Drosophila melanogaster: one gene and its partners. The protein of the gene in region 3 purifies or fractionates together with the protein of the main gene of each other region. This does not show direct contact. Each region holds a gene or a part of one and is shown on either strand. Other genes may lie near its edges.

What was found.
Region 1: the proteins of CG5506 (region 3) and CG31198 purify together in Drosophila melanogaster (affinity purification with mass spectrometry, with the first as the bait; one large-scale study listed by BioGRID). This does not show direct contact.
Region 2: the proteins of CG5506 (region 3) and CG31343 purify together in Drosophila melanogaster (affinity purification with mass spectrometry, with the first as the bait; one large-scale study listed by BioGRID). This does not show direct contact.
Region 4: the proteins of CG5506 (region 3) and CG32473 purify together in Drosophila melanogaster (affinity purification with mass spectrometry, with the first as the bait; one large-scale study listed by BioGRID). This does not show direct contact.

The regions. Positions count from the first base shown.
Region 1 is NT_033777.3:21,751,534-21,759,958, reverse strand, and holds CG31198 (uncharacterized protein), read right to left. Parts: upstream 5,636-8,425; 5' UTR 5,554-5,635; intron 5,399-5,553; 5' UTR 5,391-5,398; coding exon 4,702-5,390; intron 4,558-4,701; coding exon 3,841-4,557; intron 3,782-3,840; coding exon 2,666-3,781; intron 2,608-2,665; coding exon 2,307-2,607; 3' UTR 2,201-2,306; downstream 1-2,200. Other genes in the region: CG31233 (uncharacterized protein), read right to left, coding at 6,785-8,231, 8,292-8,425.
Region 2 is NT_033777.3:21,741,225-21,750,291, forward strand, and holds CG31343 (uncharacterized protein), read left to right. Parts: upstream 1-4,041; 5' UTR 4,042-4,080; coding exon 4,081-4,631; intron 4,632-4,961; coding exon 4,962-5,117; intron 5,118-5,249; coding exon 5,250-5,963; intron 5,964-6,165; coding exon 6,166-7,393; intron 7,394-7,463; coding exon 7,464-7,700; 3' UTR 7,701-7,779; downstream 7,780-9,067. Other genes in the region: CG5849 (uncharacterized protein), read left to right, coding at 443-601, 661-1,135, 1,204-1,442, 1,518-2,763, 2,824-3,135; CG31233 (uncharacterized protein), read left to right, coding at 8,766-9,067.
Region 3 is NT_037436.4:17,881,548-17,887,441, forward strand, and holds CG5506 (uncharacterized protein), read right to left. Parts: upstream 2,830-5,894; 5' UTR 2,799-2,829; coding exon 2,732-2,798; intron 2,665-2,731; coding exon 2,189-2,664; 3' UTR 2,102-2,188; downstream 1-2,101. Other genes in the region: CG7408 (uncharacterized protein), read left to right, coding at 254-1,066; CG16775 (uncharacterized protein), read right to left, coding at 4,519-5,094.
Region 4 is NT_033777.3:13,301,487-13,309,122, reverse strand, and holds the start of CG32473 (uncharacterized protein), read right to left. Parts: upstream 4,360-7,636; 5' UTR 4,053-4,359; intron 628-4,052; 5' UTR 535-627; coding exon 219-534; intron 1-218. Other genes in the region: CG43208 (uncharacterized protein), read right to left, coding at 5,372-5,565, 5,631-5,658; CG8774 (uncharacterized protein), read right to left, coding at 6,892-7,567.

The DNA of each region.
Region 1 (8,425 bases), on a different chromosome or scaffold from region 3:
CGCTATCCCCGAACCACATGTGTGAGGTCTCATGGGCGATGATGCGTATGGCGAACTCCTTATCCGACCAATCATCCGAGTATCCAGGTTCCTGTATAAGGACATCGTCGCTTTAAAGTAACAACAAAACATAATGAAATCATATTCTATATTTTACTTTCGTTTATATGTATATTTGGCAATACTTTTCGTACTCACCTGTAGATTATGAGGCCCCAGTTTTCCATGCCGTTGTGCGGGAACCTGGGCGAACTGGCATACTGCAGCACATCGTTGCCCAGTTCAGCATATGGACTCTGGAACAACTCCCCGTATGCTGAAACCACCTGCTGACCCACATGGTAGCTGAACTCTGTGTTATCATAAAACTCCGGACGAGTGAGCACTGCGAACTCACTCTCATTTCCACGTGCAGAATAATTGGCCACCATGAAGGCCAGCAGATATGTGGACATTACAGGGGTCTCCTTGAAGTGATCGACAAAACGATCTTGGCTGAAATCATGGAAAAACGGTGATTAGTTAACATTATTTATTTTATATTATATAAAGTGTAATGTACCTTAAAGCTTTAGTTTCTTTTAGCTTGGTGTTGGCAATCGACTGATACCCGTTGGGCCGAACAATCTGCAGTTGGAACTGTGCCTTCAGGGCGGGCTCATCGAAGCAGGGCAGGACCAAACGGGCGTTGATGCGCTGCATCTGGGTGAGAGCCAACCACCTGGTCACATTGGTATCCCTCTCCACATAGCTGGCGGAGAAGAAGCCGGCCATATCCGTTCGTATGTGCCCGGTGTACTTGAACCCGAGCGTATAATTTTTGCCTGGCTGCGCGGCCTCCGTCAGCGGAACTCTCACCTGTTGGGTGGCGGCCTCATAAATCAACCTGCTGATATCGATGGCCTCCACCTGCGCACCTGCCGCATCCAAAAGCCAACATTCCGTAATGTCGAGCGTATCAGCGTGTAGAATGATTTGTTGCACCTCCAAAGTTCCGACCACCCGCAAGGTAATGCTCACTTCGCCATCGAAAATAGTGGGCTCGACTGAGTTCCGCAAAACACCGATGGTCAGGTTGTAGTGCGATGGTACGACGCTACCTTCCAGTCGATAATCAGCGGCATTCGTGACACAGATCAGCAGTGAACAAAGTAGCCAAAAGGCCCGAAATATCGAACTGCTCATGGCGACCGAAACTCGATTACTGGAGCGTTGGATTCGGACACACTCTTGTAGATCGCCGGAATCAGAATCAGAAAATCAAATAAAAGTCCCCCCCGCAAAACAGGTGTCGTTCGCAGGTGATTAGATAGCGGAATATTCAACAATAATACAAGATGTCGTCACACTTCTCTCACTGAAATATTCTTATCAGCGTGCCATTGGGCATTTATTAAATGCTAAATGGAATGCCAATTATCATTTTAATTGCCAACGACAGCTGCTTAATGAGTTTTAGTCAGGAAAGCTATTGGTGTTTTGAAAATTATTTTTAAAAGATAATATTGTACATTCTCCTTAAAATATTTGTCATACCATTATTAGTGATTTGTATAGATTAAACTCTAAAAAAAAGTCCCTCTGCTATCCATTCACCATTATGGTGGAAAGTCCAATGCGGCACTCAATACTACAATTGATAAGATGCGATAAGGATTATGTTTTCGATTGGGTTCCACGAAAAGTGAATCAACTTAGTTAGCCAGAATAGGTGGTAAGATCGATATCTGCAAGACAATATTGTAAAAGAGCTAGCAATAAAGATAGTAATTTATTACTTATGTCGGTCAGTTTAAGTTTCAGCGATATTCCTTGTCTTTTTTTTTAATTGCATCAAAATTAAAGCACACAAATTAAAAAAAAAAACCCTAATGGCTTAATATGGTTTGATTTATTACGCGCCAGACTTAAATTAATGGCTAATACAATCTAATAAAAAATAAATAAAACACCTTTTCGCCGGAAATTTCGGTAAAACTTAAAAAAAAATCGTTTATTGCCCTTCAACAAATTTATGGCCAAATAGTGATCGATTGAACCGTAGTTTTATAAAATCCCCTCAAGATCCCGAACTGAATCACCCGGCAATATTGTCGCTAATCAGATTGTAAATTAATTGTCGCCATGGGTGTCATTTAAGCCCATTTCATGATCGATTTTGCTAGCACGAGTAATAATAAACTAAAACAGCGGCTTATCTACAAAAAGGTGTTACTTTATTGGGTGCTCTTGCGTACAAATACTTTATGGCCTAAGGAGCACTCGTGACTCGATCGCACCTGACTCCAGTAGGAGCTAATCCCTGCTTAGTTACGCAGCATGGTGACCAGGGCCACCATCAAAAGGCTGATGGCGCTGAAGGCGTTGACCATGGCGCTTCCACTACGATAGTTGGCCAGATAGCTGCGGAAAACGCCCAGCTTGGCCGTAGCCCACTCCAAGTTCTCCTTAACGGTTGCCTCGGCGGCGGTCAAAGTGGCCTGCGAGCTGCCGAACTTGGCGCCATTAGCCTTGTTGAAGTTCTCCAGATCAGTTAACTGCTGATTTGTGGTGAAACGGGCGGCGATATTGGAAATCACCGTGGCCACAGCGGAGTAGCCGCCCATGCTGCAGAAAGAAGTGAATTATAAAATGCAAGCCAAACCAAATAATAGGATATACTTACGCCTCAGCCAATTCCTCGTATTTCTGAGTGACCAGTGCAAACACCGGACTGACATTCTCGTTGTTCTCCGTGTAGAGAGTGGCCAGCACGGATGACTTGTCCTGTCGTCGAATCTCATCGCTGATGATCAGATCGAACACCTTCTCGATTAGAGACTGGGTCTTGACGCAACCGAATGAGTTCTGCAGCAGGGTCTCCTCGGTGGCCACGGTCTCGTTCTTGAACTTGTTGTAAAGAGCCTGGAACTCGGCCTCACCACCTTCACGCAGACCCACGCAGTAGACAGTGGCGCGTATGTTCTTGGGCACGGTGGCCAACGATTGGAAGTAGCCCTGGGCCTGGCTGATGCAATCGGAGCTGCCATAGCGACAGGCCCAGGAGAGGATCTTAGTGCGTAGGTAAATGTCCAAGGCTGTATCATTCGATGCTTCATTGAAGCCCAGCTGATTGTAGGCCTTGTTGGTCAGGGTCTGGATATAGTAATTGAAATCGGCCGTGTCGTTTCCGAGGCGGATAGTCAAGTAGTTGAAGCCGTTGAAGGCGGATGTCCAGGGGATGTAGTTGGTCTCCGTCTGCAAATACTCGATCACATCCAAGGTAAGGTTGTAGGTAACATATCCAGCCCTGGCCAGATTGAACAGATCATCCACGATCTGGGCGCGATTGTTCTCGTGAATTCCTCCCCAGTTGGCTGTGATCAGAGCGTGGTGGATGGCATGCCAATTGTCGTCGGAGTAGGTGACACGGTAATATCCGGTCTGCTGAATATTGACCACAATCCATTTTATTGTTGAGTTGAATTGAACCGTCGTAGTTACGTTGGGTTTCAGAATAAACTTTGGCGTGGTGTTCAAAAAGTTATTTGTCTCACTGGTAGTGTAGGAAATGGGCACAGTATATTTCAAAGATGAGTCGGATCCATCGCTCTCCTTCAGCAGGAAACGCTTCTGCGTGAAGCTGACCTGACTGTTGCCAACAGTTACATTGATCAGTGGATAGCCCACCTGCTCGGTGAAGCTCTTGAATATATCTTTGGAGCTTTCATTGTAACTGGAGTTGGGCCAATTGGCTTGCCAGGCTCCCAAGAGATATTCAGGCAAAGACGACTGATACTCGCTGTAAGCAAGAAAAACCCTTGAAATACAAGTCACATATTTAATTTCCCCACTACTCACTATTTCTTCAGGTATTCCTGCAGGGACTTCTGGAATTGTTGCTCGCCCATGGTGTGCTTGATCATACGGATGAAGGTGGCTCCCTTGTTGTAGGAGATGCTGTTAAACATGCGGCTCAGATGGGCGGGCGTGTAGGTGTTCTCATCGCTCAGCGGATTGGTGGCATTGGTCGAGTCCATGGCCATGACCGACTGCACCTGGTCAACCACAAACTGCTTCTCCAGCTCCCATTTGTCCTCGACCATGGCGGTGCCGAAGTATTGGAAATAGCGAGCGAATCCCTCGTTAAGCCAGGTGTAGCTCCACCACTTGCAGGTGACCAGATCGCCGAACCACATGTGCGCCTGTTCGTGAGCCACCACGGCGGCAATGGACTGGCGGGAGGCCAAGGTAGTAGCCGACTCGTCCACCAGCAGGGAACGCTCCCTGTAGGTCAACAGACCCCAGTTCTCCATTGCTCCGGCCGAGAAATCCGGAATGGCGGCCATATCCATCTTGTCGTTGCCCATAGAGTAGTAGTCCTTATCCAGGTACTGGCCCATCTCCTCCAAAATCTGGATACCCACATTGTAGGGGTACTGGGTCTGAGCATAGTACTCGGGACGTGCGTAAACTCCGAAATCGTCATCCTTACGGGCCACGAACTCGGAAATTATGAAAGCCAGCAGATAGGTGGACATTTTGGGCGTCGTCTTGTACACGTCCGAGAAAATACCTCTAATAATTGGGTGAAATAAAACATAATATTCAGATCAAGAAATAACAACTTTCTCGTTAATCGATTAAATTCTCACTAGATAGTTGAATTTCTTAACCAATGGAAGGCTTACAGATTAACAATAAAGTGGTGGAAGTTCTTACTCTTCAGTGCTGGGATACGATGAGATCAGACGGGTGTTACTGACCGAGTTGAAGGTCCTGTGTCGCTTCAGCGTGACATCGAAGGTGGCCTTGAACTGGGGCTCATCAAAGCTGGGGAAGGCGCGACGAGCGTGATGGGTTTGGAATTGGGTGGATCCCAGCCACTTGGTAACATTGTTATCGTCCACATAGGAGCTGCGATAGAAACCGTGCATATCGTCCTCCATCAGACCGGTGTACACGAAATGCAGTATATATGTCGTATTGGCGGTCAAAGCAGTTGACGCCGTCAGCTTTACAATATCCGTATCATAGTTCGTTGTATTGGTGGCACTAATTTGGATGACCGTAGGATTGGCCACTTCGGTGGTTGGCTTTTGCCAGTATTCCCTGACCGAATATGTGAGGTTTTTCGAGTGCAGATAGATGTCGTTGGTGGTCTGGTTGGAAATCACCTCGATCCAAACCTCGCCATCGAAGGTGAACCTCTTGTTGCCATCGGTCTCCAGCAAATAGGGACGCAGCGTAATGTTGTAGTTAACCGGCGTGATGTGCTCGGCCAGGCGGTATTCATTTAGCTCGGTGGCGAGCGTCGCCGGCGGCTGGACATCCACAGACAGTTGCCGAGTTCCTGCCGAGGCCAAGGACACACAGGCCACCAGGAGAACAGCCACTCGCGGGGCAAACATTCTTCCTACTAATGAAATATCAAAAGGGATACAAATTAAAAACTTAATTAATCGCATCGCTAGTACGTGTCTAGTAATTTAAAGTTTTTTTTTTCACTTTTATAAGGATTGTTCCAATTTTACTTGAAAAATCCCCATTTATATAAGCACTTATTAAACTCACTTTTCAAGGGTTCGATCGCGAACCTCGGACTAGAATTAGTATTTCGCACGCCACTCGGCCAGCGATTCGATTCGAAAACTAAGTGAGTTTTGGCTTTGGGCCCGGTATATATGGTGAATGTAAACCATTTTGCGACTTTGCTAGTATCAGCGGCTTATCTGCAAACTTTAACGTTTTATTTCGGCCCAGATAAAGTTCGCCTGGTCTATAGATTAAGCTGCGATAGCGATAAGGGGTCGTGATTTACACACTCCGCCATTGGCTACCAATCCAAGCTGACAATATTTTTTTGAAGATTGCCAGACGATGGCATAACATTTGCTGTCCGTTGCACTGCTTCTTTGAGACTTTATGGTGCATTGCACCCAATCTTATCGAGCGTGATTTGCAGTCTTCCAAAGGGGAAAGCTTTTAACTGCCAAGTTGTTGCTAATGTTGGTTGATTACAAGATACTTCGTAAATAATGAAACAAACATGAATAGGTTTGTCTGAATTTTTTATATGAGCATCCAAAGAATTGTCGGTCCGTACATTTTACCTTGTATTCGTTTGGATTAACTAACGCTATCGCAAAATGGCTTATCAACATATGAACCACATTATGTTAAGTGTATTGTACTCTTAAAGGAACTTCTTCCTGCTATGAAGCATTTAATGAGTATTATTGATTGATTAGTGGCCAAAGCAAATCAAAAATTGACGGCAAACGCTTATTTACGGCACAATAGAGTATCAAAGCTATTGAAAAAACACATTTGTCAAGCATATGAATGATAAACAAGAAAATATATCTGCACACCGCCCCCAGTAGTTTGTTAAATTTGCAAAAACCGCCGATTATAAAACTGTATCCACCAAGTTATTAAAGTCATAAAAACCCCTCAAGAAATTTCAGTCTTTGTTTAATTCCTTTTATTATATTTATATTCGACCATTTGTGAAACTAAAGGCTAACATGATTTCGTTCACACTTATGAAATTAGTTGCCAAGGCTGATTACCCATGTATTTATGGCTCAACTGTGGTCGTAAGAACAGAGTTTTTTACTTTTCAAAAGAGGAAATTTATGAAATACTCACGCTTATCTGACCACTTCGATCTGGCAATTCACGACCATAAACCTATGAAGGGAATTGTAAATTCCCAGCAAAAGCAAACAATAGTTTTAGGAAATTAATGGAATTTATTGGGCGCACAATGGAAATCTATAACTAACTTAGGATCTACGTTTTAGAATAGCTTGGCGGCCAGAAGGCAGGCAAGGATTGCCAAAATGGAGGCGTTCAGGGCGGAGCTGCCGCTGCGGAATCCGGCGACCCAGGTCATCAGGGGATCCCTGTTGGAAGCCAGCCACGCGTAGTTGGCATTCACGTTGCTATCCACGCTATCCTGCAGAGTGCTGGGCACATACTCAGAACCCTTGACAGTGTCCACCAACTCTTGCAAGGCATCCTTCTGCTTGTCGTTGACGGTATAGGCGGAAATACCCACAATGTCGCTGTACAGAGGATTTACGCCACCAAAGCCGGAATTTAGCTGACCATACTTTTCCCAGTTCTTCTGCAGGAACTCAATGGCGACCAGCAGACCCACCTCGCCGCGGGAGTAGACCGGACTCAGCACCGTGATCCTTTCCTGATCCCTCAAACCCTCTGGCTCAATGCTGCTGTACACGAACTTCTCTAGCTGGGCAGTGTTCTGGGAGCAGCCCAGGGCGGAGATCAGAAGACGACGCTCGGCCTGATCGGTGGAGTTCAGCAGCTTGTTGAACACAAAGTCAAAGGTTTTGTCATCGGCCTGCTTCAGGCCGTTGCAGTACACCTGCGACTGTAGATTCGGCTCGATCTTAGTTCCCTCCTCCACGAGAGCCGTCAACTTGGCCGTGGTCTCCGTCAGACAATTCTCCAGACCCGCCAGACAAGCAAGGTTAATTAGCACATTGCGGGTGAATGGTACCAAATGGTGGTCACCTTTGTTATCATTCACTCCGAACTTGTCGAACTGCAGGCTCACCAGTTCACGGACGTAGAACTGGAAGTTGCCATAATCCGCATCTCCGCTCAGGTAGCGGTTGAGCAGGGTAATCACTGTGTTGGTAGCGGACCAGGGAGAGTACTGATCCTCCTGGGGCAAGTAGGTCAACAGCTCCAGCAAAGTGGCATGGGGCACACGGCCACTGGTTGCAAAGCGGTACAAGTCGTTAATCAACTGGGCTCGGTTCCTAGGATCGATCTTGTGGGGACGAGTGATCAATGCGCTGGTGATCAGTTGATAGTTTTGGGCATCATAGAGCACGCGGTAGTAACCAGTGGATTTTTTGTTCAGAATCAACCAGTTGGTCTGGTCCAAGTCGGAATAGATGGTAATCTCGGATTGGTTAAGCAGATAATGAGTAGCCTCGGTGTTGCGGAAGTCGGGATTTTTCGATTCGGCGTAGTTAATGGGCACATACCACAACTTGTCATTCGTATAGTCCTTATCGTTGGTGTACACCGACTGCTTAACTGTGAAGCTTCCGTTGTCGTAGTTACGAGTCACGGTCAGTAAAGGAACTCCTCCCTGGTTTGTCCAGCTACCCATCATATCGGGCACGGTTGCTTTCACTTCATAGTTCTCCTCCACGGCAGCCTTGGCAATGGCCTCGAAAAGCTTGCTGGGATTGGCAGCAGTGAATTGACTGGTTAGAATAAAAATTCGATATTAGACATTGATGTAGGCTCCAAAACTTGAAACCTACTTGTCGACCAGATAGTTGTGTAGGCCGCGTTGGAAAACGGTGTTAGTCAGGGCATGGCGCCACATGTCAAGAACGGATCCGGCCTTAGCATACGAAACGGAGTCATAGAGCAGGGCAATCTCCGAGGGCTTCTG
Region 2 (9,067 bases), on a different chromosome or scaffold from region 3:
TTATCAGTGCGCGGTTGATAGTGAAACGACAACATAAACCGACAGTGTTTGATACGGCAGTATGTGTTTTAGAGCGCCTGGATTTGTTTTGATTCAGATTGAGCAACATATTCGCATGACCCACGACTTTCGGTTGAAAATAACGAGCCTCGATTGTTCCGTGGAAGTGAGAGCAGGTTCTCCATGTGATCGATCATTCCGGCAGCCGCAGGCTGTGACTGGTTTTTTTTTTTTTGTTAAGCGTTCAATGATCTGAAAATGGGATTGGGAATTTTGGACTGAAGCGATTTTGTTTTAATTATAATTTCTATCCGGACAGCAGACGCTAATTACTCTTGGCAACACGTACTATAGTACTTGGACGTATGCTATAATTTCTATTCATGTTATGATTTCATTTTACTCGCAGACCCATTGACCCAATTCAATTTTAATCTTACAGATACGTAGCCGCCACGCAATGTGAGCCAACATATGGTCGTCTAATATTTCCCTGCTACGATGAGCCGGGCTTTAAGTCAAACTTTAGCATTAAAATTACCCACGGTAGTAGTCATTCCGCCATATCCAATATGCCAGTGAAGGAAGTACTAGCTCACGGGTAAGTTCATATGCTTATATATTTTTCCATAAATATTAACCTCTTATATATATTTGTAGTGACTTGAAAACCACTTCATTTCACACAACCCCACCGATTTCAACCTACCTTGTGGCTTTTGTCATCTCCGATTTTGGAAGCATATCTGAGACTTATCGTGGGATCACTCAAAGCATCTATACCTCGCCAACTTCCAAGGAAAAAGGTCAAGTTGCACTGAAAAATGCTGTGCGAACAGTGGCTGCACTCGAGGACTACTTCGGGGTTTCCTATCCTTTGCCAAAACTGGATCACGTGGCGCTTAAGAAGAACTATGGAGCAGCCATGGAGAACTGGGGTCTAATCACTTATAAGGACGTTAACTTGCTTAAAAACATTTCGTCGGATGGACAGAAACGAAAGTTGGACTTGATCACCCAGAACCACGAGATCGCACACCAGTGGTTCGGCAACTTGGTGTCCCCGGAGTGGTGGACATACACTTGGATGAATGAGGGATTCGCCACTTATTTTAGCTATGTGATAACTGATTTGGTTAGTAACGAATAATGGTTATAATAGGTTACTTTCCTTTTTCATACAACTTTCCCGTTTCCTTTCAGATATACCCCAATGACAAAATGATGGACATGTTTATGACCCATGAGGCAGATAGTGCATACAGCTACAACAGCTTCTTTGATGTCCATCCAATGTCCCATTACGTCGAGGGTGAAAAGGACATCATGGGTGTATTCGACATTATCTCCTATAAGCGAGGTGCATGCGTGATCAAGATGTTTCATCACGCCTTTCGTCAGAAGCTCTTCGTGCGTGGTATCAGTCACTTTCTGGAGAAATAGTAAGTTTTTGAAAATCACCTCTCGAACTGGTCAATTGGAATTCATGGGTCAAGGTGCTCTGCTCTTTCGCCCAGTCGTTATAGCGTGGCCAATGAGCTGAACCTCTTCGATGCCCTGCATTCGGAGCTCCAGGATGACGAGTACTTTTCGCATCAGCCATGGGCGTCCCGGATAAGGGAGATTATGCTCTCGTGGACGCATAGCGAATGGTTGCCCATTTTGGTGGTCACTCGGAACTACGAGAACAACACCATCACGTTTACCCAGCGATCAGTTCACATGAAGGATGAGCTATGGTGGATACCAATAAATTTTGCCACCACACAGTCGCCCAACTTCGAGGACACCCAAGTGGATATGTTTATGCCACCCCAACCACAGTATACGGTATCACTGGAGGATCTGAATATCCATGTCAGCGGCAGGGATTGGATAATGGTGAATAAGCAGCACACCGGTTTCTATCTCGTCCGCTACGATACAGATAATCTAATGGCCATTGCCAGGCAGCTGCAGACGAATCACTCGGTCATCCATCCAATAAATCGACTTGGTCTCTTTCGAGATCTGGGTCCCCTGATCGAACATAATGAAATCGAGCAAGTGGAAGTAGTGTTCGAGTTGCTAAAGTACCTTGAGCTTGAGGAGGATGTGCTGACTTGGAATCAGTTGCAAGATACGATAGAGTGTCTAACACGAAACTTGCATGGCACCTCCTCCCAGAGCCTCTTCAATGAGTTTGTACGCCGCCTGGTTGGCCCGACTTTTCGACGAGTTTACGTGGAACAAGGTGTAAATTTAGCTGAAGATGGGATGTTCCGTGGGATTCTAGAAATCGCCTGCTCTGCGGATCTTCCCGAGTGCCTGGAATACACACGTCGCCTGGCTAAGGAGCATATAATCGATAAAATTTATTTTAAAGATGGATCAGACTACCATGCCATAATCGATTCCGTGTTATGCATGGGAGTTCGGTATCTAAGCGATCAGGACTTCCAAAGGATAATTGATATGATGCAGGAAATAGATCGAGCTTCGGTATACTATGATGACATTATATATGCCCTCCGGTGCACGCAGAGTCATCGGCATCTGTTATACTATCTGGAAGGTCTGATGGGTGAAAACTCCACCCATATGGTCCTTTCCGAATTCGAAGATTTGATGTATCTCCTCTACATATACAAGTCGAATCTGGCCTCTCGTCCGGTCATCTGGCAGTATATCGAGCGCAACTACAAGGTGCTCTGTCGAGCACCAAACTTTTTAGAGCACTTTAAACAGCTCGCTGGATTTGTGCCCAGACATCAGAGATCACATGTAATGAGTTTATATCTATTTCATATCCTACTCGTTTTGTTCACACATATCTCTTTTCAGTTTGAGAGGCTACGCCAGACAATTGCGAACCACATGATGCAGGAGGGTCTTAATACGAACCAAACGCTGATCGAGGTCGATTCTCCGCTGGTGGGCAAAAAGATGAAAATCACCGAAAATTTCCAGGACAAGTTCGAGCAGCAGATCCACAAATGGCTGCTCAATGAGCTTCCTCAGGCGACCAGCAGAAGTGATGCCCTTTTGTCCGCCTCCCTCAGCGCGGCCAATGGGTCAAGTCGTCCTCAAGGAGTCCTAAAGGAGGCGACTAGGGTGTTGCGCAGTGCGTTACGAATAGTAGATATGTATAGGTGACCAGACATTTGGTCTAACTAGGTATCACATAAGTACAGGCTTAATTACGAATAAATTAATTTTTTTCAAAACAAAACAATCGAGTCAATTCATTCAACAGCCAAGAGCTTTTCAACACATTCTAAATTAACTACAGACGTTATCGATTTGTCTGAAACGCCTCCGTGGGGAATTGATAAGCAAGTATAAAACACAAAAGTCATCGATAATAAAAACCCGATCAAATGACTATAACTTTTTTACGCAAAGACTAGTAATTATTTCTGGGTATTTCTGGCCATTAAAAAGCAATTTGAAAAATTTATAACAATTTTGGACATTCAATAAGTCGTATAAAAATATACAAAACTGAACAAAGCCATTACTTAAGTTTGTTAGTTTTTGTACAATGATTACTGAATATTAAAGCATACAAATTTGATATATTTAAAATGTAGCACCTCGTAAAATTAATTGATACTTATTAGCGTTTTTCACGAGTATTTATGACTGTTTTGATTATAGCACTATAACAACTTGCATTTTTTCGTACTTTCAAATACTTAGTCGTCCCAGACGAAGCCATAATTCAAAAATTTACTGCTCCTAATGATGAAACTAATAATAGGAATTTGATTAACAAAAAAGTAATGTTATCCTGCTTTATTTTGATAAGCGTTACGCTACTGAATAATTAAAATGTTACCGAGGGGATTTTTTACACTATAGAGTACCATCTTCAAAACTCTCGTAGACTAATTGTTTTACAGCCCAATCATACTTCACATTTGACTTGTCCCAGTGCACTCTGGGCCAATAACCGTGGCTTTGCCACGTTTTATCGAGAATTGCGCAACAATCTTTATGGCGATCGATGTTGAGGATTAGATATGGCCAAGTCCATAAAAATGCCGTGTTCAAGCGGCGGCCGCTCAATAACAAAGTGTCTTTTACCGAGCAGCCAACATGGCACGGTGGCTGCTTAACTCGTTTTCGCTGATCCTGCTCCTGGCAGTGTGCAGCCTACAGGCGCGCCTGATCCTTCCCTTATCCCTGGACGATGGACAGCTGGAGACCAAGGGAGCAGCCCTCTTTGCCACCTCCCGCGTGGATGATAATAGTGCCGGCAATTACCGACTGCCAAATACAACGGAACCGGAGTCCTACAACGTGGAACTCTGGACCAATGTCCATAATGGCGATACCGAATTCAATGGCACCGTCAATATCGATATCCGGGTTTTGAACGAGACATCGAATATTACGCTTCACTATCGCCAGACGTCGAATTTTGAAGCGACGATTATCAGCCGGGATGTGGCCACGCCCACGGCAATTCCACTCACTGTAACCCCCGAGTTGCAGCGCGAATTCCTCGTCCTTACGCAGACCACCGCTGGTGAGGCATTTGGAGCCAACACCAACTGGACCATCACCATCAACTACACTGGCATCCACCGATCTGATATGGGCGGTTTCTATATCTCCAGTTATACGGACGATGATGGCGAACAGCAGTAAGTTGATATTTTACGAAGACTATACAAAATAATACCATTATTTTATTATGAGCTTGCACAGCCTTTACCCTTTTACCTTTATAGAAAATTATACTTAGGTTAGCCTTCTAATGGATGAGGGAATAAATTGCAAAAGTACAAAAGCTTATCGTGCTATTAATTACAATTGTACCTGATTGAGTACTTGCGGCTAGTTTCATTTCTTATCAAGAGACACAATTTGGCTTATCTTTATAATCTGTTATTAGTACGATGATACGCGCTTACCAAATAAAGATTAATTATCGGTTTAACTGAGTCGTTAATGTATATAACAATTTCTTTCAGCTTCTTGGCCACCACGCAATTCGAGAGCACAAACGCCCGTCACGCGTTTCCCTGTTACGATGAGCCTGCCCGTAGAGCTAACTTTACGATTACCATCCACCATGATCCCTCCTACACTGCCATCAGCAATATGCCAGTAAACACCGCTGCCACCAGGTATGATTTACGAATATATATACAAGCATAGAGGAAACATTACTCATTCGCAGTGTTGACAATGCTAGATACAATTGCAATCGATACTTTTCATGTAAGAAATGCTAACATACTGACGGTTTCGCCTTCCAGCTCGGGAGTCACTGCTTTCCAGACGACGCCAAAGATGTCCACCTACCTGGTGGCCTTCATCGTCTCCGATTTTGAGTCCACCACCGGAGAACTGAATGGCATCCGCCAGCGGGTTTTCTCGCGCAAGGGAAAGCAGGATCAGCAGGAATGGGCCCTTTGGTCCGGATTGCTTGTGGAGTCCAGTCTGGCTAGCTACTTTGGGGTTCCCTTCGCCCTGCCCAAGCTAGATCAAGCTGGAATACCGGACTTCTCTGCCGGTGCCATGGAGAACTGGGGTCTGGCCACCTATCGTGAGCAGTACATGTGGTGGAACAAGCAGAACTCCACGATCAACCTGAAGACGAACATTGCCAATATTATTGGACACGAGTACGCGCACATGTGGTTCGGCGATTTGGTATCTATCAAATGGTGGACCTATCTGTGGCTCAAGGAGGGCTTTGCTACTCTCTTCTCGTACGAATCGAACGACATTGCTTTCCCACTGTGGGACACCTATCAGATCTTCCACGTGAACGACTACAACAGCGCTCTGCTTAACGACGCCCTGGCCTCGGCCGTTCCCATGACGCACTACGTTCAGACACCATCGGAGATCTCCAACAGGTATAACACCTTCTCGTACGCCAAGCCCGCCAGTGTTCTGTACATGTTCAAGAACGCTTGGACGGACAAGGTATTCCGCACTGGATTGAACAAATACCTGACCAAGAAGTGAGTACCAAGCCATTACTTAAATGACCTAATATATGAACTTCTAATGTATAGAGTATAGAATTTTGATTAATCAAAAGATCTAAAATATTTCAAGAACTTAAAAAGCTAACTTTATGATATACTCGTATATACTGGGCTTAAGAGCCCTCATTTTAATTTGAACAGTAATCTCACATTGGAATTATTTTGTTTCGCTCAGCCAATATACATCTTGCGACGAATGGGATCTATTTGCGTCCTTCCAGGAATCGGCCGACGAGCTGGGCTTTACGCTGCCCGCCAGTGTGGACGACATCTTCAGTAGCTGGTCCCACCAGGCTGGTTATCCCCTGCTCACAGTGACCCGTAATTACAATGCCGGCACTATAACGATCACCCAGAAGCGTTATGTGGCGAACAAAACTGATACAAATAGCGCAACTTGGTATGTGCCACTTAACTTTGCCACTGCCAACAAGTACGATTATCGTGACACGAGCGCCACACATTACTTGCTAAATGTGACGGAGACCGTGATCTCAGATGTCGAGGCTTCCAGCGATGACTGGATAATCGTGAATATCCAGAACTCCGGCTATTACCGCACCCTGTACGATACGCAGAACTATGGTCTAATTACGGCAGCTCTGAAGTCTCAGCCCTGGAGGTTCCATCCTCGTAACAGGGCACAACTGCTGTACGATACGTACATCTTTGTCAGCACCGATCGCCTGAGCCACAGCATCCTGCTGGAGCTGCTGGGTTACCTGACTAATGAGCAGCAGTATGCTCCTTGGTCCACTGCCAACACTATTCTGACCGTCTACGATCGTTACTTGCGTGGCGATGATTCTTACTACAACTTCCAAGATTTCGTGAAGCGCCTGATCGATCCCATCTTCGATAAAATCGGTGTAAACGAGATTCCCGGCGAGCATTATCTGAACAACTATCTGCGCATCGTGCTGGTCAGCTTGGCCTGCCAGGTGGGATCCGATGATTGCTATAACCAGTCGGCCAATAAATTATCCGAGTACCTATACAATGGCACAGCCATTGAGGCCACTCTAAAGACTCAAGCCTACTGTGCTGGTCTCCGATCGACTACCAATGAAATCTATAGCAGAGTGCAGTCCGATTTGCTCAGTTCCTCAGATTCCACCGATCGCAGCCTGTTCATCTCCTCGTTGGGCTGCTCTGGAAGTACGAGCCAGCTGCTTGATTTCTTGAGACTATCCCTGGACACCAACAATAGCTTGAGCTACTCGGAGCGCACTTCCCTTCTAAACTCGGCCTATTCCCGCAGTGAAATCGGTCTTACCGCTAGTTTGGAATTCCTGGAGAGCAACTGGGAGGCATATGCCAACCTTTCAGACTCTGCAAAGCCCCTGGATGCTGCCCTGCGTGGCATTGCCACCTATGTGGTCAGTGAGAAGCAAAAGACGAGGGTACGTTTTTTTTTTTTAATTTATAATTCAAAGCAGACTTTTAATTTACTATTTATTAATTATATGACAGCTTAACGCTTTGGTGGATGTTGTGGAGGCTGATGGACCGAGTTATATCAATGATGATCTGAGCACCACCATTGACTCCAGAATCACATCCAACTTCGCTTGGTTGGAAGTTAATCGTGATCCAGTGCTCAACTGGATCGAGGATTCCTTAAAAGAGAACGGCAGTCCCTCTCTGACCTCATCCATCACCACGATCCTGGTCAGTGCGATGGCTCTGTTGCTATTCAGGCTATATTAAGATAACTCACGTGGTCAAGTATTAAACATAAATTCAGTAAAGTGACGTAAATCAACAATAAAGATTGTGTGCTCATCATAGATCGAAAATAGAACTGATTATACTGTGGAATTTTCGGGCTGAATGGAGTCCCCTGGTGAGAAAAGTTCAAAGTTCCGCGGTTGGGAAACTTAACTGATCGGTTTATAGCTTGGTTGACACACATTTGCATTGGTCAATCTAATCGCGATTCTAGGAATGGCATCGATAAAGCACTGATAGTTGAGCTTAGTACGAAATTCGATTATCAAGTGGATATTTACAATGGCCTGAATGGTTTATGAAGTTCACGTGATCATATCAGATTGTGATTGGCAACTTTCAAGAACAATAAGCCATTTTATGGTTTTCAGTTTCTTAATCAATTTCAATGGTTTTACCATTTATTAGAAGATGTCTAGCTGTTGCATAGTATCGCACATATTGCTTAGTAATTCCGTATGGATTAATGGGCCTTTTCTTATCTCAAGAGCGAACTTGAACAGTCTATTATACCATAATAGTTAACAGGCGTGTATATTTCGCTATCATATCAGCACATATGATAAGTACACGAGAACTTCAGTTTCAATTATTATTGTTCAAGATCTTGTTTCGTATAGAAATTATTGCTGTTTTCATAATTAGATAATATGCTGTCATTCCTTTTCATTAATTATAGTAATAGTGTTAAATAATTTTTAGAGGTGAGAGAAACAATTCTTTTATAATCAGCTAAACAATCAGATCAAGGTCAGTGCACTTGAGATTTTTATCAGGGCGTCTATCTTGAAATGCCCACACTTATTCGACATTATCTTAGACGTGATTGTTACTAACCCTGCAGAAAATACAAATTCATCAAAGGCTAGTACCATACTTGATTTACTACCCAATGGAGTTTATACCACAGTTCTTGGCTGGTAACGGTCATTCTGGGTAACAAGATTGGGGTAATCTTTATGTCTGCTCCCAGATAAGATGGACTGCCTCGCTTAAAAGTGGCTCCCCGAACTTTGGCAGTTTAGTCTTTCCGCGTTTTTCGCCATGAGTTGCGTTCAGGTCGGGGGCATGTCAGTATTCTTGGTCCTTTTGCTGGCCATTTCCGCCACCCAGGCGGCTGTGGTTCGCCAATATCCGATCCTTGATCACCTGCAACATCTGGAGAATCCCATGCAGCGATTGGTGGTTCCTCTCGCCGACGAGGATAACTACCGTCTGCCCTACGATACGATCCCGAGTCATTATGCCGTGTCCTTGAGCACAAATGTGCACACGGGAGACACCGTGTTCAATGGTACCGTGGCCATCACCTTAAGCGTTTTGAACACCACCACAAAAATTGTGGT
Region 3 (5,894 bases):
TAATTTCATTATAAAACTTGTACTACTTTTTTTTTCAATAATTGAACACAATGTCAATGTCATTACCGTTAATCGTAGATAAAACTAAATTTGTTTAACAAATGTAAGAAGTGGATATATCGTTTGTAATCTGCCCATGTCCGTTGTTAACTATTTATAAATACTAAAACACCCAAAACGTTCATGCAAACACTTTTGGAACATGTTCCTTTTTGATATTTAGTTCGCTGATTATAATCAATTTATATTTTAGCAAAAGAATTCCCCCTGGGAGGGTGCTCTGCGATCCTCAGCGGCCATTTGGAGCACTGAGTTCGAGCGGCTGGGAAGTGTTTGGAAGCAGCAGATCTATATTGGCGACCTTTTGCCCACGTTGGCGGCAGCAGCCGGAATATCCCCGGATCCGGCGCTCCATTTGGACGGATTGAACCTGTGGTCTGCCCTCAAGTACGGATACGAGTCGGTAGAACGGGAGATTGTCCATGTGATTGATGAGGACGTGGCGGAGCCGCATTTGTCCTATACGCGTGGAAAGTGGAAGGTGATTAGCGGCACTACCAATCAGGGTCTCTACGACGGCTGGCTTGGTCATAGGGAAACCAGTGAAGTGGATCCTCGCGCAGTGGAATACGAAGAACTCGTTCGGAATACCAGTGTCTGGCTGCAGTTGCAGCAGGTGTCATTCGGAGAGCGCAACATCAGCGAACTAAGAGATCAGAGCAGGATCGAATGCCCAGATCCTGCGACAGGAGTCAAGCCCTGCTTGCCTCTCGAGGGACCCTGTCTCTTCGATATTGAGGCTGATCCCTGCGAGCGGAGCAACCTATATGCGGAGTATCAAAACTCGACAATCTTTCTGGATCTTTGGTCGCGAATCCAGCAATTTGCCAAACAGGCACATCCTCCCAATAACAAGCCGGGGGATCCCAATTGCGATCCACGATTTTACCATAATGAGTGGACTTGGTGGCAGGACGAGAAGGCTTCCAGTTCAGGGACTATCGGGGTAATGAAAGTCTTTACCCTGTTAGTGGTATTCATCTTCACGAGCAGTTGTATTAATTAAATGAAAATTCTTATGTAGGTTAAATATTTAATGATCTTGTTAGCAAAGTTGGCATGTATTCAAAAAATTAATAAAAACTTCGTCTAAGGAAAATAGACAATTTTATATTTTATTATTTAACCAATTGGCTTGTGGCCGTAACTCATAGTAAACCGATAGCTTTTCTGCAACAAATGCGATAATTTATGACTTCAATTCTACCTATCAATAACCATTTCTGAGTACTGTCCAATTTGATCCGGTGTCAAAAGGCCAATCTCCCTTTTTATCTAATCGATTACTTCTGCGAAAACTGATAGTTGCAAAACCCCCTTCAAATTAAATTAAAGCACAGCCAAATAGCTTTCTGCCAATCAAAGTGGCTTACATAGTATTTAACCAAAATAGTTTACGACACTGAAATCAAGGCAAGATCTTTGGTTACAGATTAAATACCATAATCAATCAACTGTTCTATCTATCAAAAAAGACATTATGGACTTACTTTGTTCGTCAAAATGAACTAAGAGTAAAAAAAACGTACGAAAGTTAAAACCTTTAAAATGTATATACATTTTCTTGTCCATAGCAGCATGTAGAACAGAAAATTACGATGAGTTCATAATAAAATATGAATTTAAAAGAAATTTCGAGTTAAGAAATAGTTGTCCTTCCAAAAAGGCATTTTTAAAAAATTACCAATCTCAATTTTCGCTTTAGGCATAAAGTTTTATTTTAATGGCAGTTTTATTTTTATTTTATTTTAATTTTTCTATAAATGTCATGGAATATAAATATGATATAAAAATTGTTGGGGACGAATTAATAATTTTGATGTGAAAGGAGACGTCTTTCTTTGCCAGAAATATGAATGTATTAAGAAATTTGTGAAAAACATCATCTGCCTGAGAATCATATTTTATAAAACTAGTCTGTTTATAAAAATTAAGTGTTTCAAAGTCAATCCATTTACTGAACTATATATGTTAATAAGATTTGATGCATATCAAAAAATTGAATAAGTGCGATTCCGTGAATTACAAAATAAATATAATTACTTGAAATAAATTATGTTTTATTTATTTTTTAAGGGAGCCGGGATATCAAAGGAACTTAATTCAGACAAAGATCTAGTAGTAGAATTTAGTAGTATGTTCCATTGCCTTTAGGCTGGGCCACCAGAACTTCATATTTGTCGAACTTTCGCAGGGCCAAGCTCTCGTGCTTGATGATGCACACCTTCTGGCTGCTAAGGAGCAGGGTGCCGATTAGGATGCCTCCATCGGTCTTAGCACGGCAGCAGAACACCCGCTCATTTTTGACCGTCGTGCCCACGGCAACGGCTCCCTTTTCATAGAATCCATCGAAGCTCCTGACCCACACGTAATTTACATCCCGCTCAGCCACTAGGATGTCGTAGACGAGGAGCTTCGAGGATGTGGTTTCCGTATTGAAGTAAGCAGTACCAGTTTCCGCAACAACTCGAGCCGGCAGGATGCTATTGGAGTACTTAACACGACCAACATAGGTGGTAAATCCGTAGGGATCGAAGCCACCCACAACGGCATTATAGGGAATAACGTAGGACAGGTTACCAGCCTTCCACACGTGCTCGGTATCTGTTCGAAATGGCTATGTTAATTGGATTCAGTTAACCCTCTATATTATATTATTATTGGTTCTCACCATAAGTCGAGGGAACCGCGTAGGCAACTGCAAACAGGGCCAAAACTACACAGACAAGTTTGTACATCTTGACGGACTGCTGGATTCACTTTGAGTGTCTGGCCAGTGACTTAACTGCTTTTATAGTCGTCTTCTTATCTTTCGACTCCAATTACACTTATCGCTATCAAAAGATTGGTATTGATAGCATCTGTTTCGGTGACTAACGCATCGTTGTTTTATTGCACCCTTTCAAAGTAAGAGAAATTTAAAGAAAAAATCCCCCTAAGTCATTTCATAATATTGAGCTATAACTTAGTTGTTAAACATAAAATGATTTAAAATATATTTAATTAGGAACTTTAATATATTTATTTTGTTGTTTGTTCATACAATGAGCAACTAAAAACTTTTGTTTTAAAACCAATATTAGTAAAGAGCATAGCCATCGAAATATCCCTCTCGTTTGAATCAAAAAAAAGTTTGTATGCTCTTCAAGTTGGTCAAAATTAGTCTGATATAAATAAACTAAAAATTATAAGTTTTACTTTAATATATTTTGAATAAAACAATATTAGAGAACAATTTTTTTTAATTTCCCATGACATACAGGTTTTACAAGACGAAAGATCGTGTCATACAATCAACATTTTCCCCTATGGAATATCTTATATCGCACTTCTTTAATATATAATAAAATTTTAAGTTGGTATATATTTCAATTAGCTTAGTGAAATATTCATGTAATTTCCTTTCCTTATATAAAAATCAAAGTTGTCATCTTATCTAACATGATAAATCAATTAAGAACGCAAAAGACTATTTTCTGATAAAGAGTTATAGATTTTATTTGCTTGCATTCAGTATACATACAATGTATTTACAGAGCGAATGGCATGAACGAAGCCACTTGGCGTTGCCTGATCAGTATCTCGTACTTGTATTACTCGTACTCGTATTTGAGAATGCACCCTCTTTTCGAAGGCTACAGCGTTTCTATGAAGACGCCTTCAGCGCAAAGTTAGCCTCGTCCGTGTTGAAGTGGGCCCTAACCAATTCCGGGACCATTCGGGCAGGCAGGACATTATTGAGGACATTATAGTACACACGGCCGACGTAGTTCATGTAGCCAGCACTGCTTCGTCCAGCAGATCCTTCGTCCTGTCGGCAAGGATCTATTTGTCTTCACTGCTATATACTGCTCCCCTGATAAGGGTCACCAAATGAACTAGGACTACGGCCACAATTATCAAGCCCTTGTAGCAGTACATTCTTGAACTGTTGACTAGGAAGATATCTTGAAGTGACTAGAATCTGCAAGTCTGATATCAACTTTCTAGCTTTTATAGTTCCCGAGATTACCATGTTCATACAGACAAACGTACGGACAGTCGGATATGGCTTGAATGACCCGTCTAGTGATCCTGATCGAAACTATATATACTTTGTTGGGTTGAAAAAGCTTCCATCCACTTGTTATATCATTGTCAATCAATCAAAATCAAGTAAATGCGTTTACTCTACGAGTATAATTAAGTAATTAATTTAACAAAGGAATAAATAGTTACAGTTACAAAAAAATTGAAAATAGGAATTCACATAATTTCTTCTTTGGATTTATCAAAAACTTAAACACAGTTATTCTGTTTTTCTACCTCTTTTAAATTAAGAAAAAAGAATAGGAAACTTTGCTTTTATATTAATTATTTTTATTAATTCAAAGTCATTAAATAAATTGAAAGGAATTGTTTTTTTTTAATAAATATTTTGTATTTATATTTTATTCTATTTATTTTGTTGCTCAGCATTTAATGGTGGATATAACCATCAACAAATGGCGAGACGGCAGCTACATGGCGTTCGCGGACAAGGATCTCGTACTTGTCGAACTGCCGGAGCGGAAAGTTGTCGTACTTGACGATGCACATCCGCTTGGAAAGGTACAGAGTGCCGATAAAGATGGATTCATCACAGCGGACACGACAGATGAAGACACGCTCGCTGAGGGCGTTGGTTCCCACAGATACGGCGTTCTTTTCCCGGAAACCATCGAAACTACGGATCCAATGGTAGCCGACAGTGGCGTTGGACACCAGAACCTCGTAGGTGGTGGCTTGGTTGCCCAAGGTGTCGGTGTTGTAGGTGGCCTTTCCCAGCTCCGGTACCACTCGGGCTGGCAGAATGTTACTGCTGTATGTGACACGACCCACGTAGGTGTAGTAACCATCGGGATCGACGCCACCGAGAATCGCTTCCTCTGGAAGGTCCAGGGTCTTGTCCAGGTACACCCACTTGTCCTCATAGCTGTAGACTCCTCCGTGGATTTGAGCCACCATCTGGACGAGGACTACGGCCACAATTGCAGAACTCTTGGCTGAGAACATGATTCGATTGTTGAGAGGCGGGGTGTTGTGGACATTTCGAGCTGCTAACATCTTTTATAGGTCTTTCTTATCTATAGATTGATAGTAAATCATTCTTCGAGGAGTAACTTTGTGATTAGATTGTTAGTAACTTTTTTAGATCGGTGATTAACAATTAAAGTTCTGTGGTCAGTTACAGGGAAGATCTTTAAACTTTTGCAAAACCCCCGCTAAAAAATTTCCCCTAAAAATAGACCGAATTCACTAGTGATCCTGACCAAAGACTCTTATAGGGCTGAAAATGATTTACTCAACCAGTTAAATTATTTTAAACAAATGTGGTGGTACACCGTCTTACTCAATGAGTAACTTCCTAAATTGTGTACATTAAATTGTGTATTCAAGGAAAACAGCTTTTCAGTAGCTTGCTTTAGATGAAACCTATTTAAATGATGTTTTCCACTCTATTATCTACGTATATCGCTTAAACGGAAATCTAATTTTTCAGAATAAAGTTCTTGGCGAAATGGTTTAATTTAATCGTATCCGAAAAATAAAGAGTGGTTTTTATTTAGCAAGTTCTAATATGTTAAATATTTATGTGAATTGGCCAACCTTCCAAAATTGGCACGCATATGGGTAAGGCCAAAATCGTCAGGCCAAATCAAAGGCAGGAATACTAATCAACTCAATTGGTGATATTCAAACCAGTTTGTGGGTTTATCAACATAGCCGTCTTATCAAAGAACGTGGTACAAGAACCCTGACCTAAGTCAACTATCGTAATAATACAGCTTAAAACAAAACTTGGCTCATATTTT
Region 4 (7,636 bases), on a different chromosome or scaffold from region 3:
ATGCAAGATTATCAAAAGGTGGTATATTTATACAAACCCAGTTCGAAATTCAAATGAAAATTAGAGAGCACTATAAATATTTGCCAACTATGGTGACAAATAACAAACAATTGTAAGAGATCTCTAAATTCCGATCTTATACAAGCGATTGAATTGACTGGTTCATTTAGTTTTCATAAATTCCAATGGTGCTTTTGTTTCCCCCTACACAAACCAACCTGAAAGTACGCTGATAATGGGCTTGGTGGATAGCAACTGGTCCCGATCCACGTAAACTGTGCGGATGGTGGAGTTCAAGGCCCACTGGGAAGCATTCGCGTGCTGCTGCCTCTGGTGCTCCTCGGCTATATTCTTGCCGACGTAGACGAGGGCGCCCAGCAGGAAGCCGCAGAGGACTAGCAGAAAGACGCAGAATGCGGCGAGGGTCAGGATCGTGTTGCTGCGGGCCTTGTGGGGCCGATTGGTGTCCTTGATCCGGTGATTGTCGTCTGTGGAGAGACTGCTGCGCGGGCGTACGTTTTTCGCTGCATACATGACTTTTAGTTTCTTTCCTTCTTAATTGTACTATTTTTTTGCTGTTTCTAGTCCTATATTACTGGGCTCGGTGCGTTCAACAACAGTAAATCACTGGAAAACATTATTAAATGTCACGATCGGTAAGCTTCACTCTAACAGTAGTTTTTTCGGCCAACTATGGGGCTGTCCCACAACGCCATAACTTCATACAATCTATTGTGTCATCGGCGGGGTAATTCGAGAGCATCATAAAAGTCGCGTACTGAATTACATGCGTCTCCGCTGCCATCATCAGTTTTTTCTGTTTTAATAATCTCCGAGCTGCTTATAAACAAACCCGGGCTTATGGACCCGGCTTTTATGGAGGTGCCAGGTGAAGGAGGCGGGGCAGCACAGCTTCCGTCACATTTCACTCTATCTCCAGGTGGAGATTGCCTCAATTTCGACTCGCTGCAGATCAATCAGATGCCTGTTATTTTTGTCCCCCAGTCCCCTCCAACGGTCACGTAATGAAGTTGGTCATTTTGTGAAATTGTTACTACAAATACTCGAAGCCATTTTTTAGTTTGGTTTATAAAGTTGGTGTTGGAACTGGGCTGGCTAACCGCAAGAGTTGCAATTCGAATCCCCGGGTTTGTTGCAATGATACGACTTTCTATGGAGGCGTCTCTACACAATAACGCTAAGAAATTCAGTAGCATACAATACTTTTATAACATCTCAATTTTATGTCTCTCTAGATAGTCAATGATGATTACTTAATAGCATTTTTTTAATCATAGTGTATAGTTTTTCTCGCTGTGTACGATTGATTGACGGATCACAAAAGGTTGTTGGCTTTTTGCCTGTCAATTTACGGAGTCTGTTGCACAAATCTCCGCAGGTTGTGCGATGGCAAGAAATTACAGATGCCATTATTAGCATTGGAAATGAATTGAGTTGCCCGCAGAGTCATGATCCACGGCTTGCTTTTCGAAAATGATGTCAGGATATAGGAGTATTAAGCCAAAAAAAAAAGAACAATACGCGATGCAGCTGAAGTATCACACGGATCACCATTCACTCGGAATTGTGCGAATTGAGGAATTCGAGGCTGCAGAATATGCTAATTTTCACCAGCCGGCAGGCAATTGTCTCTGATACACATGGTATAATACGTATACGCCCCCTTGCATCTTCCGCGGATGATGTAATGCTGACTCAATTAGGGAGCGCACATCGCACAAAGCCACCGCACATCGGAGTCAACAAAATTGCATGACTACCACCTTATGAGCGCCGGAAAAAAAGCAACCAGAAGATCTGCAGACAATGGTTGGTATATACATATGTACCATATGAGTTCATATATCTCCGACTTCCAACAGCCAATCGGACACGCCCCATTGCACAGATGTGAATATCTCGGCATTCTGAAGCCGATGAAGCGATGATCGCGGGGGCACAAGCCATAACATAACAGTTCTCATACTTCGCTAATGAGTCGCATAAATTTCACTACTTTGTAGATCGAGTCGAAAGCACACAGAAAAAAAAAACTAATGCGCAATACAGCAGCTTAAAAAGGAATTAATCTAAACATTATTTGATATAAGAAACGTGGATCATTTCTTATGCTAAACAGTAACAATTTGTGTTGTCAGATAAATTCAGATTCAGATCATTCAGATAAATATCCCTGTTTGTCACTCCATTATATGTTTGTTTACTTCAGAGCAGAGATGCTTTTAAATTTTGGAATTCGAAACTGAAAGCTTACATTTGAAACACGTTCTTCGGGCTTTTTAAGGTCATAACTTTCACAATAAACACAAAGTTATACGTGACAAGTGCGCCCCAGAAACACCCAAAAACTCAAAGTGAATCCCAGACATGGAAGAAATACTACCCATAACACCCGCGGTGGGATGAAATTGACAATGGTCGACTATACGTGCCTGCAATTTATGATATACACAAAGGGAAAATTCAAATAAAAACAATAAATAAAAGGAAGATGCGTTGACAAAGAAATGATTGCCACAATTTGCATGTTTGGGGTTAACGGAATGCGAAATAAATTTACTATTAATCAATGGGTTGCATCACTTTCAACACAAATAAACTATAAAATCGGAGAGGAAACTTCGGCCTTGACTTGCTTAATTTAATGCTATAGATTTCATGATATACACTTTATAAATAACTTCAATATTGGAAAATAGGAAACTCGAAACCATGCGATATTTACAAATATTTATGTAAGCTTTATCAACAGTTCATTGAAATATAAATAAATAAATATTTTATAAATAGAAGATCAATGAAATTGTTTATATTTCAGCATGTAGATCAATGAACTTCAAGGTGTTAAATTGTATAATTTACACACCGCCAAAGGTGTCAAGTGCCTTATCAATTCTGCCAACAACAGCCGTTAATTTACATTATTAGCACAAAAATCCAATTAAAAAGCCCTCCACTTTCGAAGGTTCTTTCCCACCGTTTGGAAATAAAAAAATTTCTATTTCGCCCAAGAAGAACGAAAAAGAAATCAGTGTCAATGAAAATGAAAAAAAGGTTTGACCACCGAGCTTTGACTGAACTTTCAAGAACAAAACAAACCCAGGAAACACAGCGAGAAACGGGTAGGGGAAGCTACTATGACAACAAGTTTCTTGGCAGTCAATGATGTCGACCCATTTTGTTGCGGCTTTTTGAAGAAAGTATTTTCTCAGCGGCCATTGAGTATTTGCCGCATTGAAGATGTAAACACGACGCATTTGCTGGCCAACAACCACAGATACACAGCAAAAAAAATCATAAGCAAATGATTACCAACAAAATCGAAGATACAAATTGAAGATCTAATGAAGAAGTAAAATGTCTAATTGCCGTAATTGTATTTATATATACAATTTATAATATTGATAATATTGATAATTAAAAAAACTGTGATATTAATTTTTCTTATAATCAGATTGGTAACAATTGTTGATAAATGTCAAAGAATGCAACTACGAACAGAATCTACTTCTCGTTGATAAGAGACATACCAATATAATCTGATAATGGGCTACGATAGATATAATTCTTTTCTTTTTTTTTTTGCTGTGCATCGATTGTGGCCGATTTAAGGCCAAGAACTTGCGCGGCAAGTGAACTATGTATGCATTTGGCTCCAAGCCTGTTTGCAGCGGTCCCAAAGGGGTGTGGGAAAGAAGGAGGGGAGGGGAAGGGAGCGGTGCAACCTGTTTGATTCAGCCATGTGGAGTTCTCTTGGCCAGCCTGCGATGGCCCGTTGTTTATCGAAACGAATACCCGTTGAAAGTCAAAGTTGGCATAGAATCCGGTGGTCACATTTCAGCGAATATTAAAAATAGTGATCGCCTCAATGCGCCCAATTAAAACTAGAATTTTGATCGCATAACGGCGATGCGGTGACAATGGTCATTTTGTATTGGCGTGGAGCTTTTGGAGCGGACTCAACGGTATCTGATTGATATGGGCCACTTATTATCTATTATTCCCGTCACATTTCGCACTATGCCTTTTACTTGATTTACAGTTGAAATCACAGCTTTTCGTGTCTCGTTTTTCGTTTTTCTTTTGTCTACGAATGGCATTAATTGTAACTTTGCCGGGTCCGAGGAATATTCACTCGGCTAATTTGATAACGGCAATTGCCGGACAGCTATCATTCTTGATTCAAATCGTAGGCGCGCACTCGAGAAATCCGAGAAAACGAAGAAAAGCGAAAAGAAAGGGGAATCGCGAGAATCGTAATTGAGATCGTATTTGCAGACGGAGTCCGCTCTTTTCTATCGCGACCGTCGCGCTCTGCTCTGAACTTCCGACTGAAGCGGGCTCCAAAGTTGTCACGGCACTCGAGCTTCTCCGGAAAGCTCTCTCATCAGCTGAGACCGGCTTTTTTATGGCCCCAACATGCGATGATCTCCAATGCATTGGGGGTATTCACAAGTGTGCTTGCAATCGTACTAGTTGCGGACAGTGCACTAGATACGATCTTAGCTACATAAATAGTACGATATAATAAAGATACCTGACATCTTAGTCTAGACATGCTAACAAAATGTTTGTCATCGCAAGATATACCTTAAAATTACTCACCTATCTACTCCATCGGCATTCGTGTAGTTGCTGATGTAGCTGCCCACCAGACTGCTCAGATCGCAGTCGAAACTTGCGGACAGTGTGTAGGCCTTGTTCATACTGAGGACCTCTCTTAGCGTGATCAGGAGCAGCTCCCGGGACTCATCCAAGTTGATGCTATCGATGGCCACGCGTATGCGCGCCATCATGTTCAGGATGCTGATGCTGTGCACATTGAGCTCCTTGGCGTGCAGGACGATCAGGTTGGTGATCGCGTTCAGCTGGAACTGAATGGACACGGTTCCCTCACAGGCGCCGGTCGTCAAGTCGGGATGGTAGTACACCTTGTACTTGATGGGCGTCAGTTCCGTGGGCAGGCGCCATTCGATCTGCGGGGTCGTAAAGTTTATTTAATATCCACGCCATCGATAATGGGCTTTGGCCCTATTAAGTGAGCAATGCGTTGATAAGGTGGCGATAGGAAATAGCACTGTTGTGGTCAGGTCGTAAACCAAGTGGACGTCGTTGCAACAAATATGCCTTAGCTGGATATAGTGGCTAAATGTTGTGAAATTAGGGTCCTAATTTATTAGGTGCAATTTCAGATATCAAACAACAATAGCTCTACTACACAAATATTGAAACCTAAGCGTATTTTGGTTTCTTATCCGTTTGCCTTTATTGCTTTATTGCTTTAACCATTTTTGGAAATAGATATGGATTTGAAAGCCATCTTTTTGAATGTTTGCCAGCACCCTAATTCTTATGAATTTCTTTCCGAAATGGTGGACAACAAGTGGCTTTGAATGTATTCCTCCAGAACATCCAACATCCTTTTGGCTTCGTCCAACTGCAGCAATAAATTATCCCTGTGGACGGCCACAATGACAAGGGCAACGATCAAGCAGGTCGATAATAGACCAAAGAATATAGCCACGCGCTCAGCGGTGATCAAGTCTATGAAAATATACATGAATCGGTATCGGTGTTTTCCCAAAACTTCCTTCGTTATCAATAAATACCCTTAATCCTGTCCTGCATGTGTCCCATTTTTGTGGCTCCTAACACTGCGTTAGCCGCAATTAAACTAACTTAAAAGACCCAAGAAATTAGACCCGTTTTGTATTATGATAAAAAAGAGGAAAAAAAACGCTAGCCAAGCGATAAGCACTTGAAATGACCAGTAAGACTAAGTTGGAACTTAATAAATTCGAAATTAGTAGCCATGCCGACTTTACGTCTAATCGCTGAAAATTTTCCCACTCTGTGTGAGGGTTTTTCTGAACTAACATCTTTTATAGCCGTGAAATATATTTTTCTTGCACTTCACTCACCTTTTCAGGATCAGGAAGTCCTGTCGGCAATGTCGGATAGATGGGATTGGTGGTGCTTCCTGTACTGGATGATGGCGAAGTTTCACCACCCGGAGATGTTCCTGCACTGGGGGTTGTGTCACCTCCTACGCCAGGTGTGGTGGTAGAGCCAGGCTCGGTGTCATCCGTGGGCCCATTGGGATTTGCAGTGGTGGTGGTCGTGGAAGTGCTGGTAGAGGTGGAGGACGTGGACGTGGTGTCCACCGTCAATGCGTCGATCTTATCGAGGGCATCCTGCAGATCGTTCTCCAGGTCCGCATTCTGAACGGCCAGCACAATCGTGGCCACACAAAAAGCAGTAGAGGCCAGGCCCAAAAAGATGGCCACTGACTTAACCGTCAGCCCTAAAATGAGTTCACATTAGTTACTGTTCCTTCGGGATATGCTACTCTATATAGAAGACTCACAGGCAACCATTTTTAGGGATATTCTTTTTTCGATGAAAATTACTCGACTGCTTCCACTAGGCTGGAAGCCAAATTGGAAACTGAATGCAAGTTGCGAATCTGACCCCACAATTTGGACTTGATAAACCTGATCAGATTGCTGACCGATATCTAGACTATATACTATATAGCTTCGTGTCCAGATAAAATCGTTTTATGCTAGACCATTACTTTTACGATTCGAACAAGGCCATATATCGACTATTATGACTGGACACTCTAATTACTCAGGATAATTACGCATGGTCATGATTCCGCATTGACCATATACTCAAAGACCCTATCTCCAATTATTTCCTAGAAGCTATAGAAATCCCCACTTGCCTCGGATAAAATGAATGAAAATATGGGGGTTGTATTTATGGTTTGATTTTGAAATTTCATTTTATTGAACTCGAACGGAATTTTCGCTTATGCAACTCTAATTATTGGCTAAATGGCCAGTTTATATACAATATACAATTTTACAATTGGTTTTTCTTGGTCAGCGGCGAGGCCGTTCCACTTAGCCAGTCGGTGATGTCAGCTTCGTTTCTGGATAGCCATTCGATGTTGTACTTGATGGTTTCCACGGCCTCCAACCGGGAGTTAGCTCCAGCTCCCGATTCGGGGTACTTGGAGAAGAAGTGCTGAACCTCCTCCAGTTTCACGGAGCTGGCAAAGTTGGCCGTAATCTGGGCGATAAGTCGTCCAAAGTTGCGGTTGTTCAGGCCAAAACGGGTGGTGAGTTGGGGCCACTGTTCGCGGTAGAATTCCCAGACCACCGGTTCACCCACAGGATTGGCGGCTATGTACTGCACACAGGTGAAATAGTCCTGGGAGCGAACGATGCTCTCATCACTGGAGGCCTGTGCCAGGAAGTCGAACAGATACTGGCTGTTCCGTACGCCAGACAATCCGTACATCAGCTTCAGTTTCTCGCTGGCATCGGTTTCGGCCACAAAGAGTTGGAACAACTGATCCCAGCTCGATTGGCTGGTGGACTGCTGCATGCCGTAGTAGTAGACAATCTCGCGAAGATCGGGGGAAGGTCGAGTGGTCGGATTCTCCAGGAAGGTGCTGAAGCGCTCGGAAGCCTGCTGCAGACAATCTGGAACACCCAGGGCACAGGCGGCGGTCAAAATGGAAACACGCAGGCGGCTGCAAAGGAATAAAGATTGTTTGAATAACAGTAGTTTGAGTAATGTTTTCAGAAAAACAAGTTGGTAC